Linked DNA regions of Xenopus tropicalis. The protein of the gene in region 3 interacts with the protein of the main gene of each other region in a pairwise test. Links are inferred from orthologs where the notes say so. Each region holds a gene or a part of one and is shown on either strand. Other genes may lie near its edges.

What was found.
Region 1: the proteins of fam168a (region 3) and ube2v1 interact in binary tests that used the Homo sapiens proteins (3 or more experiments, as listed by UniProt). The two-hybrid records come from large-scale screens. The link is inferred for Xenopus tropicalis from reciprocal best matches to the Homo sapiens genes FAM168A and UBE2V1.
Region 2: the proteins of fam168a (region 3) and otub2 interact in binary tests that used the Homo sapiens proteins (3 or more experiments, as listed by UniProt). The two-hybrid records come from large-scale screens. The link is inferred for Xenopus tropicalis from reciprocal best matches to the Homo sapiens genes FAM168A and OTUB2.

The regions. Positions count from the first base shown.
Region 1 is NC_030686.2:36,460,803-36,465,142, forward strand, and holds the start of ube2v1 (ubiquitin-conjugating enzyme E2 variant 1), read right to left. Parts: upstream 2,927-4,340; 5' UTR 2,829-2,926; coding exon 2,807-2,828; intron 1-2,806. UniProt on the Homo sapiens protein: Has no ubiquitin ligase activity on its own. The UBE2V1-UBE2N heterodimer catalyzes the synthesis of non-canonical poly-ubiquitin chains that are linked through Lys-63.
Region 2 is NC_030684.2:88,154,313-88,158,536, forward strand, and holds the start of otub2 (ubiquitin thioesterase OTUB2), read left to right. Parts: upstream 1-1,298; 5' UTR 1,299-1,319; coding exon 1,320-1,322; intron 1,323-4,224. UniProt on the Homo sapiens protein: Hydrolase that can remove conjugated ubiquitin from proteins in vitro and may therefore play an important regulatory role at the level of protein turnover by preventing degradation.
Region 3 is NC_030678.2:173,972,335-173,976,435, reverse strand, and holds the start of fam168a (protein FAM168A), read left to right. Parts: upstream 1-1,233; 5' UTR 1,234-1,397; intron 1,398-4,101.

The DNA of each region.
Region 1 (4,340 bases), on a different chromosome or scaffold from region 3:
AGAAACGCTCGACCATGCACTCCCCCCCCCCCCTTTGGCATTACCCTAGCCGAGAAACTGCATTTGTCTTTAAATAAACGAAAGCAAAAGAGAAAGGATTGCATTATTAAAGAAAAAGGAACCAACAACCTGCAACTTGCAGTATCTACATTACAATCCCGAGCATGTATGGATAGCCTGGAGGTCTTTTAGTATCACAAACTATATATTAAAAAAAAAAAAACTGCTAAACCTCAAGGGAAAAGCTGTGAAAGTTACAACACTTCCTATTCGGAAAGGGGGAGGGTGAAACCTGTTGAAGAGGTAAATTCCCTGTTAAATTAAATTACCATGGCATATAGCAATGAAAGCATACATATTAGGAATTAGTTTTTATCCATAAGGAGACATCTAGGCTTGTTGAAATGGCAAATCAAGTTAGTTGCTAGTAATATTTAGAGTGAAGACACACAGAGCTACTAGTAGCAGCTACTTGTCACGGCTACTAAAATAGACAATGCTGATCATTTACTGATAATTGTCTCTATGTGTGTTTTAGCAGAGGCAATTCTCAGTATTGTCTATGGCAGGGGATTTTCTGGAGTTTAATAGCCATGAGAAAGTAGCTGCTACTAGTAGCTTAGTGTGTCTTCACCCTTATACAGGACCCAAACAGTTCTGTTTAACCTGTCCAAACTGAGGCTGAGATTCATGTTGAGACCAGACAGAATGGTCACTTATCTACCAGCTAACTGTACTGCCCAGACTTCAATCTACCTAGAAGGAAGTATTCAAGGGATTCCAGGGCACCTGAAAATAATGCCCTGGGGGTGCAGGACATTGCACGGGCACAGACTGGATGTCTAACATGACAGAATATTAATATGAAGTTATGTATTGTGCTTCCTATAGTGCCCCAGGGAACTAGGGAAGGTGCCAGTTTGTGGCCATAGGATACAGTGCATTAGCTTGATGGAGGCAGCTCCCAGTGCGGGCAGCCATGTTGTTTCCCACGTATGCGATTCACCCTCCTATGTCACAAGCATGCGCATAATGAGCGAGTTGTGGCAGGTACTTGGGGAGCTCGCTCCTGGTGAGGGCAGTCTAGTGCTGCCGGGGGCTTAAAAAAAAAAAAAAAAAAAAAAAAAAAAAAACTACTGTTTCCCCTAAACTGAGTAAAGATGGCCATACGCTGGCTGATTTCAGCTGCCAATATATCAGTCCTTTAGATCCAATGTGCCTGTGTATGGGCACCAACAATCTCCCTGTTTATCTGCCTGTGTATGGGCACCAACAATCTCCCTGTTTATCTGCCTGTGTATGGGCACCAACAATCTCCCTGTTTATCTGACTGTGTATGGGCACCAACAATCTCCCTGTTTATCTGCCTGTGTATGGGCACCAACAATCTCCCTGTTTATCTGACTGTGTATGGGCACCAACAATCTCCCTGTTTATCTGACTGTGTATGGGCACCAACAATCTCCCTGTTTATCTGCCTGTGTATGGGCACCAACAATCTCCCTGTTTATCTGCCTGTGTATGGGCGCTAACAATCTCCCTGTTTAGCTGCCTGTGTATGGGCGCTAACAATCTCCCTGTTTATCTGCCTGTGTATGGGCGCCAACAATCTCCCTGTTTATCTGCCTGTGTATGGGCGCCAACAATCTCCCTGTTTATCTGCCTGTGTATGGGCGCCAACAATCTACCTGTTTATCTGCCTGTGTATGGGCGCCAACAATCTCCCTGTTTATCTGCCTGTGTATGGGCACCGACAATCTCCCTGTTTATCTGCCCGTGTATGGGCGCTAACAATCTCCCTGTTTATCTGCCTGTGTATGGGCGCTAACAATCTCCCTTTTTATCTGCCTGTGTATGGGCACCAACAATCTCCCTGTTTATCTGCCTGTGTATGGGCACCAACAATCTCCCTGTTTATCTGCCTGTGTATGGGCGCCAACAATCTCCCTGTTTATCTGCCTGTGTATGGGCACCAGATCTTGATCGGGCAGGTTTGATTCTTCTGTCGGACCGGGGACCTCATTGATGCAGTCACTGCACTAACGGTGCCTATGCCCACTGTTTTAATTTGATAATTTGGCCCTAGGGTGGGCATATCGGGAGGAGATCCACTCTATGGGCGCCCTCGCCAAGCAAGCGTTTCTTACAGTGTAAGGCCACCTTTAGGCCACACTACTGATGGGGAAACAATTAGAAACTGAATGTAGTGCCTTTTTCTCTAGTCCTGACTGCACTATTAATCCCCTGGTTTCTGCTACATTGCTTCAGGAGTCAGTACCAGCAGAGCACATAGAATTTTCATTTGCCTATGTGGCAAAACCCAGTGGAAGTCAGTGACTATTGGGACGTTGCTGAGTAATTCTTCTGCAATAAATCCTGTTTGTGGGCGGTGTTCCCCTTTAAACGTGTGGCCCTGCAGCTGTCAAACATGTCTGATTGCCCGGCATTAGTAAGGGAGAGCCCAGGCAGCCCTCTGCAGCCGCCCAGCCCGGGGGAACAGCAGTGCAGGCAGGGCCGAGTCTTGTCACTGGCGGATTGGGAGCTGTAACACCTAGTGCTTCCCTCCCAGGCCTCCGGGGGCAGCTGATTCCGCGCTACCGGCACAAGCAGGAACCCGGGGCTCCTGACAGGGCAGAGCCGTGCGGAGAGGTGCGAAGGCCCCGCAGCAGCGCTACCCGGGCCAAGGCACCGCCCCACAGTACAGCAGGAACCCCAGAGAAGCCAGTTCCTGGCCGGCGGTGCAACCTGCCCTCAGCAAGCCCTCCCCCCGCTTCCCTGTCCCGCAGCGCCCCGTCACCCAGCTCACCCGAGACCGTGGTGGCCGCCATCTTGCCTTCGCAGTGCTCCTGAGCCGGCCTCCCAGTGACGCCACACAGGGCGGGGAGCTTCAGCCGGCTGTCAGGCAGGGAGTGGGCGGGGAGAAAGGGCTGACTCACACGCACCATAGAGACGGGAAGAGGCGGCGTCAATACGTCATTACGTGCTGCGTCTTGCGTCATAAACGAGACTGACATGCTTCATAAGGGAAATGTATGAATAGGAAAAGTGTAAATGTGTCAAAAATGAGATAGATATAAAAAAAATAAACTAAATGGGCAAATATATGGCCCAGGTATGTACCTATAGCTAGCTTCTGGGAGCAAAATGTTTTTTTAATCTCTAGGCCTTGTCTTCTTATATTGTATAAATATGTTTGTATTTTACACATTACAGTATGATGGTACAGCTTATTGTGTGATTCTAAATATGTCCAACAACTCACTGCAGAGAAAGAGAGGCTCAGGTGCACTGCCCAAGCCTTTAGCTAAGGGAGTGGATATCATGTTTTTTTTGAAAAAAACTCACTGAGCATATCGTGAGGCAGAATTCTTGATTAAAAAGTAACTTCATTGGAGCTGCCATATTGTTTCCTTTAGTACAGTACAGTATGAGGGTACAGCTTATTGTGTGCCCAGAACATTCCTTCTCTGTATATTTGTATTTATACATATGGGAGGGAGGTGCCATAATGTTTCCCTTAGACAGTACAGTATGGGGGTACAGCTTATTGTGTGCCCAGAACATTCCTTCTCTGTATATTTGTATTTATACATATGGGAGGGAGGTGCCATATTGTTTCCCTTAGACAGTACAGTATGAGCGTACAGCTTATTGTGTGCCCAGAACATTCCTTCTCTGTATATTTGTATTTATACATATGGGAGGGAGGTGCCATATTGTTTCCCTTAGACAGTACAGTATGAGGGTACAGCTTATTGTGTGCCCAGAACATTCCTTCTCTGTATATTTGTATTTATACATATGGGAGGGAGGTGCCATATTGTTTCCCTTAGACAGTACAGTATGAGGGTAGAGCTTATTGTGTGCCCAGAACATTCCTTCTCTGTATATTTGTATTTATTCATATGGGAGGGAGGTGCCATATTGTTTCCCTTAGACAGTACAGTATGAGGGTACAGCTTATTGTGTGCCCAGAACATTCCTTCCCTGTATATTTGTATTTATACATATGGGAGGGAGGTGCCATATTGTTTCCCTTAGACAGTACAGTATGAGCGTACAGCTTATTGTGTGCCCAGAACATTCCTTCTCTGTATATTTGTATTTATACATATGGGAGGGAGGTGCCATATTGTTTCCCTTAGACAGTACAGTATGAGGGTACAGCTTATTGTGTGCCCAGAACATTCCTTCTCTGTATATTTGTATTTATACATATGGGAGGGAGGTGCCATATTGTTTCCCTTAGACAGTGCAGTATGGGGGTACAGCTTATTGTGTGCCCAGAACATTCCTTCTCTGTATATTTGTATTTATACATATGGGAGGGAGGTGCCATA
Region 2 (4,224 bases), on a different chromosome or scaffold from region 3:
GCCACTCAGCATTAAGCTAGCATTAGTGTTTGGATCTTGGCACACAAGTTTGTTGCTTCTATTGATGCAGCCCACTGTGGGAACCCATGGATCACCGCCGCTTTCAGGGTGCCAACAGTGCTAGGGTTACCTTGCACTCACGCATGATTTTTATAACTAAGGAACAGGGCTCAGTTCAATAGTGCATTACTGTAAGGCATGTGTTTAGATGCAAGTATCTTTAATGAATAGGGTCAGTACGAGCACAGCCTTATAAATGATCATAAATGAGCCCTTATTTCCCTTAAAGCAGGAGCCATGTTAAATCAAAAGAAAATGCAAGCAAAAATACATGTAGGCATTATGCGGCATTTGTTTGGAGCAACATCTGTACTAGATATAAGATAGTTTTCTTGGTTTGAATACCTCCCACAACTCTGGCAAATACTTTAAACACCCAGTTATTAAATAGCTATCCTTATATAGTTTCTTATGATATCCTACATTTTTAAAAGATAAGTAAAACTTAAAAATAAGTTAATGTAAAACTGATGTGAATGCTATTCCAAGCACTCTTGCATTTCACGTTATTTTTTATTTTTTTTGAGATTCAAAGATATTAAGGGGATTGTGTACTGTAAAATATGAATTAATTTTGTTACAACAGCACCACCTGCTGGTCTGTTTCTGACTAATAAATATTTAGAAAGCTCTAGATAACCATCTTTCCTAACCAGAAGAACATTTCTTTCACCTATTTCCTTGACTAGATCATGGTAGAAAACAAACCAGCAGATGGCACTGTAGTAACGAAATGTGATTTGTATAGATAAGCAAGGCGATCACAAGAGCTCCTGTGTTAAATAAGTGTATTAGAAAGAGGGAGTCCTCCTCGCAAGCACTATTTTACACCAAAGTGACATCATTAAATTAAAAAGTTAGCGTTGCTGAACTAAAAGTACGACATCACTGACGCTAAACAGCCGCGCAAGGCCAGTCAGTGCTGAATGGTCACTACACTAATAAAGGGTTATACACGTCCTTATCATTTCCTGCCTGGTACTGTTACAGTGCGGGATTGCTTTTGCGTTCAGCCTCAACCCCTAATTACTTTTCGTATACTCCCTCCCTAACAGTATCACAAGAACATTAAACAGCCCAAAATAGAGAGAATCTCTCCACTGCTCTTTAAACGTCGGTCGACGCTTTTCTCCGCCCTGCGCAAGGACGCACGTATGTTACGTTGAAGTGCCCGCGCTTGGAGGCGTGGTTAGTAGGCAGGCGGGCGGGGCTGGAAGAGATCTAACAGTAGTGAATAGCCGACACGGAGCTGAGAGACAATGGTGAGTGTACTGTAAGGTGTAGAGAGAAAGGCAGGATACCGAAGCAGGGCTTAGAGTAGCGGCCATTTCATTTTGCTGAGCCACTTACGTTATTGTTAACGATATTGCTGCTGGAGTAATTAATACTTGTCATAAAGATAAACTTTAGGAAGTGCAACTTAAAGGGATACTGTCACCATTTTATGGTGTACCTTTTATGTCTAAATTACACTGTTTACATAGCAACAAATTCACATTTTACTCTTGAAGCAACACATGTATTTTTTAGCTGTGTAGGCAGCCATATCAGTGCATTGTGCCTGAGTCTGAGCTTTCAGAAGGAGCCAGCGCAACATGTTTGAACTGCTTTCAGGTAACCTATTGTTTCTCCAATGTAACTAGAGGAGTCCCAAGCCGGACTTGGATTTCTTACTATTGAGTGCCATTCTGATATCTACTGGGAGCTGCTATCTTGCTCCCTTCCCATTGTTCTGCTGATCGGCTGCTGGGAGGAGGGTGATATCACTTCAACTTTCAGCTCAGTAGTAAAGTGTGACTGAAGTTTATCAGAGCACAGGTCGCATGGCTGTGGCACCCTGGGAAATGAGGAATATGGCTAGCCCTACGTGAAATTTCAAAATTAAATATAAAAAAAATCTTTGTGTTTTTGAAAAACAGATTTCAGTGCAGGATTATATCGGAGAATCTCTAAACACTGATGTGTTTTGAAAAACAACATGTTTTCCAATGACCGTATTCCCTTAAAGGAGACATTTTGGATAAATGGGATAAACCCTAGTTTTGTAGGCAATTATGAATAATATACGGTGCTGGTTTCCCTTTGGGCTAAACATTAACCCTATCTGTAACAATGGCCCCCTGTAATTGGAGCTCCCTATAGATTGCATCACTTCTCCCTCCAGTGTGAAATGAAGAGTGGGCGTGTCCTAACAGTCCCTGCCAGAAGCACAGTAGGAGGGGAGAGCCAATCACAGCCCTGCAGTCACACAAGCACAGACAGGCTTCAGTTCCCTATCAGGTCAGCCTAGCTGCTGATTGGTTCCTATCCTACAGTGCAGGGTACGGCGGGCCGCCGGCTCCCCAGCTCATCCAGAGAATTCAGCCAGCAGGAAGTGGCACAGATGGGCGGGACTAGTGGGGTTTTTGTGGAATTTCTCAATAAATCAGTCAGAAACACAACTTTTTAAGCACAATCCTTCTATATCTAGAGGAGTATAATTCACTGGTACATTCATAATTTTTATAGGATATGTCTCCTTTAAAGTAGCTTGTCAATTCAAAAAAGAAAAGCAATTTTCTAATATTTTAATTTGGTTGAAGTTATTAGTAAACATAACTTTTACTGATAGCAGTGTATCTGCAGTAATATAGCAGAAGCCAGCTGATTAATCCCTCTCAGGAGGCACAACCTTTGTTAATTGAGGTCAACTATATTAAGAATATTAGCCCTGAATTTCTCCCTTATTTACTGTCATGTGAAAAAGTAGTACACCCTATGTAAAGTTTTTTTTTTTTTTTTTTTTAACATATGGGAATGTCAATATTTGATATTCTTTCACATAGTATATACAGATAGATACAAAACACAAAAACAAAGAAAATGGAGTTTCCAATCATTCATTAAATTAAATTTATCTGAAATAAGTAAGTACACCATTGGCTGTAATACTTGGGATTGCCCCTTTTGGCAGAAACAACCTCAAGTAGGAGTTTCTTATAATTGCTTGTAACATAAATCAGCAGAAATGGTCTTCTACTCCTCCATTAATCATTTTTTCAGTTGCCCAATCATGATTTTATTGCATGCACATCATTTTTCAAAAGCCCCGTAAACTGAGGTATTTAGATCTGGGCTTTGACTTGGCCATTCCGCAATGCTCCATTTCCTTTTCAGCTATTCCTTGGTGAGTTTACTGGTATAATTAGGGTCATTTTCATGTTGTAAGGTCCACTTTCAAGTGAGCTTTAATCTTCTGACACTTGGTCTTATATTATCCAGAAGCACACTTCAGTACAATGAAGGACTCATAGTGGATTCTGTGATGATGAGTTGGCTAGACCTTTATTCAGTAAAGCAGCCCCAAGAAGTCCTGAACTTTGCCTAGGTGTTCATGAGCAAACTTTAGTCTTTCCGTGATGTTTCTTCTTGGCACACCCTTAATGTAGATGTAATTTGTTTAATGTTAGACTTTTTGACTTTGACATCAAATCAAAGGTTTAAATAATTCATCAGAGATCCTCTTTAACAATGTTTTCATCGTTTGTACCTGCACTGGTGCCTGATTCTAATTGTAGTTATCTGAGCTAGCAATAAATGTAGGATTGTACTTGTTACACATGTGCAATTTGCTTATTTAACTTACACAGTGGAATAAAAAATATGAATGGTATGCAAAATGTGTAAATATATAATGAATTTCAAATATCTATATGTGAAATGTGTTGAATGTCAGATATTGCTAAGGGGTTTACATTTTTTCATGGTTGTGCCTCCAACCTAGACTTTAAGGTGCATCTAACTTGGCAAACAGGCTTGCTGTTTACGTTTTTCCACACATACACTCGTCAATTTGCTATCTTACCATGGGCCCATGTCTCATACACATGCATGCCCACCTAACTATTGTTGGGGAACTACAGAAAGAGGAGCTGTTGCTCCGGTAAACTTAATTTGCGATATGTTACACACTTTCCATCATGGGGCAATATCAAATTAAATTTTCAAATGTCTGTGCATCTGTGATCCTGTAAAATTGCAGTATGATTTGTCAAAAGAGCTCTCCAACTTGGCATACTACTTGTACAGATGCTTGGACAGCATGGTCAAAATTGGTCGAACGGCCTGATAAAATCTAGGAATTTATGTATAGCCAGCTTTCTAAGACAGCAGTTGACTGCTAGG
Region 3 (4,101 bases):
CTGGCACTTATATTGTAGTGTCACCCACTGTGACCTACAGCACTTATATTTGCCTACTTGTGTCTGTAAGTTACCCTCCCATATAGATTGTAAGCTCTACGGGGCAGGGACCTCCATCCTCTTGTGTCCTCGACTCTTAACTTATTGCTGATGTATTTATCTGTATTTATTATTATACTTTGTATTTATCTATTATCTTATTAACCCCCTGTTTGTATTAATGTATTCTACTGTACAGCGCTGCGTACATAAGTAGCAATTATAAATAAAGGGTTATGGGAGATAGCTCTCAGTACTAGTTGATCCAGGGACTGGTCCGATTGCCATCTTGGAGTCAGGAAGGAATTTTTTCCCCTCTGCGGCAAATTAGAGAGGCTTCAGATGGGGTTTTTTGCCTTCCTCTGGATCAACTAGTAGTTAGGCAGGTTAGGTATAGGCATTATGGTTGAACTTGATGGACGTATTTCTTTTTTCAACCCAACTTACTATGTTACTATGTTACTATATACATACATACATAAGTCCACCTCACCTCTCAGCTACACAGGAATAAATCCACCTCACCTCTCAGCGGGGAACCCTACAGCTCACGCGCCGCCGCCATGTAACCATTCTCACTCCTCTATATGGAACGTTCATCTGCACAAATGAATCTCGTACAGTCACAAATCCGGGGGAACGTGGGGAGGCCCAGTATTCGCATTGGATCGAGGGGAAGCTGACTGAAATAGAATAAGGACATGAATTAAAGGAGAAATACGCCATTTTCAAAGCTTTGTTAATCCTAAAAGGTTTTGTTCACCTTTAAATTAACTATTAGTACGTAGTAAGGAAGGCGATTCTGAAACAATTAGCACTTGGTCTTCATTTTTTTATTATTTGTGGTTTTTTAACTATTTAGCTTTTTATTCAGGGACTCCCCAGTTTGCAATTTATGCAGCTGTATGGTTGCTACAGTCCAAATTACCCTAGAAACCAGACTATATAGTGTCACTGCCCTCCATCTCCCAGGCAGTGAGTGAGGGAAGGCGGCCCAGTCAGAGCCCTATATAGGGTCAGAGCCAGCCCCGCCCATCTCCCAGGCAGTGAGTGAGGGAAGGCGGCCCCGCCCATCTCCCAGGCAGTGAGTGAGGGAAGGCGGCCCCGCCCATCTCCCAGGCAGTGAGTGAGGGAAGGCGGCCCCGCCCATCTCCCAGGCAGTGAGTGACGGAAGAGAATGTACCGCCCACCCAGGTTATGGCGGAGGTGATGTCACAGTGACAGGCCACTTCCCGCCTCCCCATTGCCGTAGCCCCGCCCCCGCATCTCTGAATGCCCGGAGAGAGGAGACGGACTGTGCAGCCTGACTCACGGACATCCTGCGCTACGGAACGGCATAGCCAGAGTGGAACGGCCCGGTGAGTACGGGGGGCTGCAAGGGACACGGCCTGGGGGCCGGGGAGTCAGTTTGGGGGGTGTAGGGCCGAGACGGGCAGCAGGGCCCCGGGAGAACTGGGGGCGGGGAGAGAGGGGGGGCAGGTGCAGGGGGGTGGGGGGGAGTTACTGTATCTGCCCCATAATAACATAGCCCTGGGGTAGGATTGTGATGTGTGGGGGGAGGGGGCAACTATATATAATTGGGGGGGGGGGGCAGTTCTGTACCCCATGGTATGTTGGTGGCTAGAGGCATGCCGGGATAATGGGGGTCCGTAACCTCCGGGGCAGAGAGGATGCCGGGATTGGAGCGGATTCTGCTGTGTGTGGGGAAGGTTATTGTGTGTGTGTGTGTGTGTGTGTGTGTGTGTGTTAGGTGCAGGCATTGTGGGTAATACTGGGGGTGTCAGGGAAAGAACACTGGGGGGGGGGATGCTGTGTGTGTGTGTGTATAGCCACATGAAAGCACAAACATAATGTATATATGTGTATATGATTTCATGTGTGTGGTTATTATATATATATATGTGTGTGTGTGTGTGTGGGAGGGGGGGGGCGGCTGGCAGTGTTGGTGCTGGGGGAATACTGATGGAGGGATATCAGGCAGGGGGGGGGGGGCAGTGCTTTGATGCTGAGGATGATGATGGTGACGGGGAGGCAGCGCCGGGATGGGTACCGGCCTTATTATATGCTGCTGGGGGGCAAACAACTGCCTATGGGGATTAGGGTTTGTGTCAGGGGTATTTATATGGGTCAGGGGGTGGGAGACTGGGCGGGGGGGGGGATATACATGGGGCTGGGGGTATGGCGCTGTGCTGGGTGATATATATATATATATATACACAAAAAGATCAGCGACACCAGGATTTTTTTTTAGGGAAAAACCAAATGTGTATTTAGCAGTAACACACATAACTGTATTATCTTTGTGCAATGATGTTTTGGTATATGGGTTATTTATTGGGTATTTTGTCCAGTACTGTATGAAGGGGGCTGCTATGGGGGGGGGTACTTGTGAGGGTCTCTGTGATGGAGAGAAATATACTGTTATGGCAGATGATTTCACAGTAGTGACGTGCCAGGCAATAGTATGTAGGGGCCAGTGGGGGGGGGCGGTATGGTAGGGCCAGGGGGGCTGGTATCATAGGGGTGGTATGGTAGTGCCAGGGTGGCGTTATGGTGGGGCCAGGGGGTTGGTATCATGGCGTCAGTATCATAGGGGCAGTATGGTAGGGCCGGGGGGTGCAGTATGGTAGGGCTGGTGCGGTTTCATAGGGGCAGTATGGTAGGGCCGGGGGGCAGTATGGTAGGGCCAGGGGGTTGGTATCATGGGGTCAGTATCATAGGGGCAGTATGGTAGGGCAAGGGGGTTGGTATGGTAGGGCCAGGCGCTCGGTATCATGGGGCAGTATGGTAGAGCCAGGGAGGGGGTCGGTATGGTAGGGGCAGGGGGGTCGGTATGGTAGGGGCAGGGGGGTCGGTATGGTAGGGGCAGGGGGTCGGTATGGTAGGGGCAGGGGGTCGGTATGGTAGGGGCAGGGGGTCGGTATGGTAGGGGCAGGGGGTCGATATGGTAGGGGCGGGATGGTAGGGGCAGGGTGGGCGGTATCATAGGGGCAGGGGGTCGATATGGTAAGGCCAGAGGGTCAGTATGGTAGGGGCAGGGGGGTCGGTAGGGGCGGGATGGTAGGGGCAGGGGGGCCGGTACAGTAGGGGCAGGGGACAGTGTAGCTGGTTGGTACTGGGATGGCGGTTCTGGGATGGGACACAATATAAAGGATTGCTGATGGGGCAGGTAATACTCACGGGGTGCCAATATGAAGGGTTATAATATGGGGGTACTGTAAAGCAGTGCTGGGCAACAGGGAAGATTTCAGGGGGGCTGGTGTGGCCCCGGGCTATTCAGCATTATGTCCCTCGCTGGGAGTAGTGCGGATCCGTGTGCCTTGTGGTTTCTCCAGCCACTGACTGTAGCGCTGCTGTATGTGGGGCCTGGGGGTTATGGGATGTTGTGCGGATACAATAGCAATAGTTCTGGGTTCCAGAACATCATCATGGAGGCCGCAGCTGCACATTAGGGCCATAAATGGCTCCTGGGCCTCCTGTAGGGCTTCATAGAATAATCATGGTGGAGGTATGTGTATCAGTAGTAATGCTGGGGGTGCTGGGAGGGACTTTACTAAAAATTATTTTGGGGGTTTAGCAAATAGTATTTCTCCTTACCTTACTATATGCGCCTCTCTGCTCCTTACCTTACTATATGCCCCTCTCTGCTCCTTACCTTACTATATGCGCCTCTCTGCTCCTTACCTTACTATATGCGCCTCTCTGCTCCTTGCCTTACTATATGCGCCTCTCTGCTCCTTGCCTTACTATATGCCCCTCTCTGCTCCTTACCTTACTATATGCGCCTCTCTGCTCCTTACCTTACTATATGCCCCTCTCTGCTCCTTACCTTACTATATGCGCCTCTCTGCTCCTTACCTTACTATATGCGCCTCTCTGCTCCTTGCCTTACTATATGCGCCTCTCTGCTCCTTGCCTTACTATATGCGCCTCTCTGCTCCTTGCCTTACTATATGCGCCTCTCTGCTCCTTACCTTACTATATGCGCCTCTCTGCTCCTTGCCTTACTATATGCGCCTCTCTGCTCCTTACCTTACTATATGCGCCTCTCTGCTCCTTACC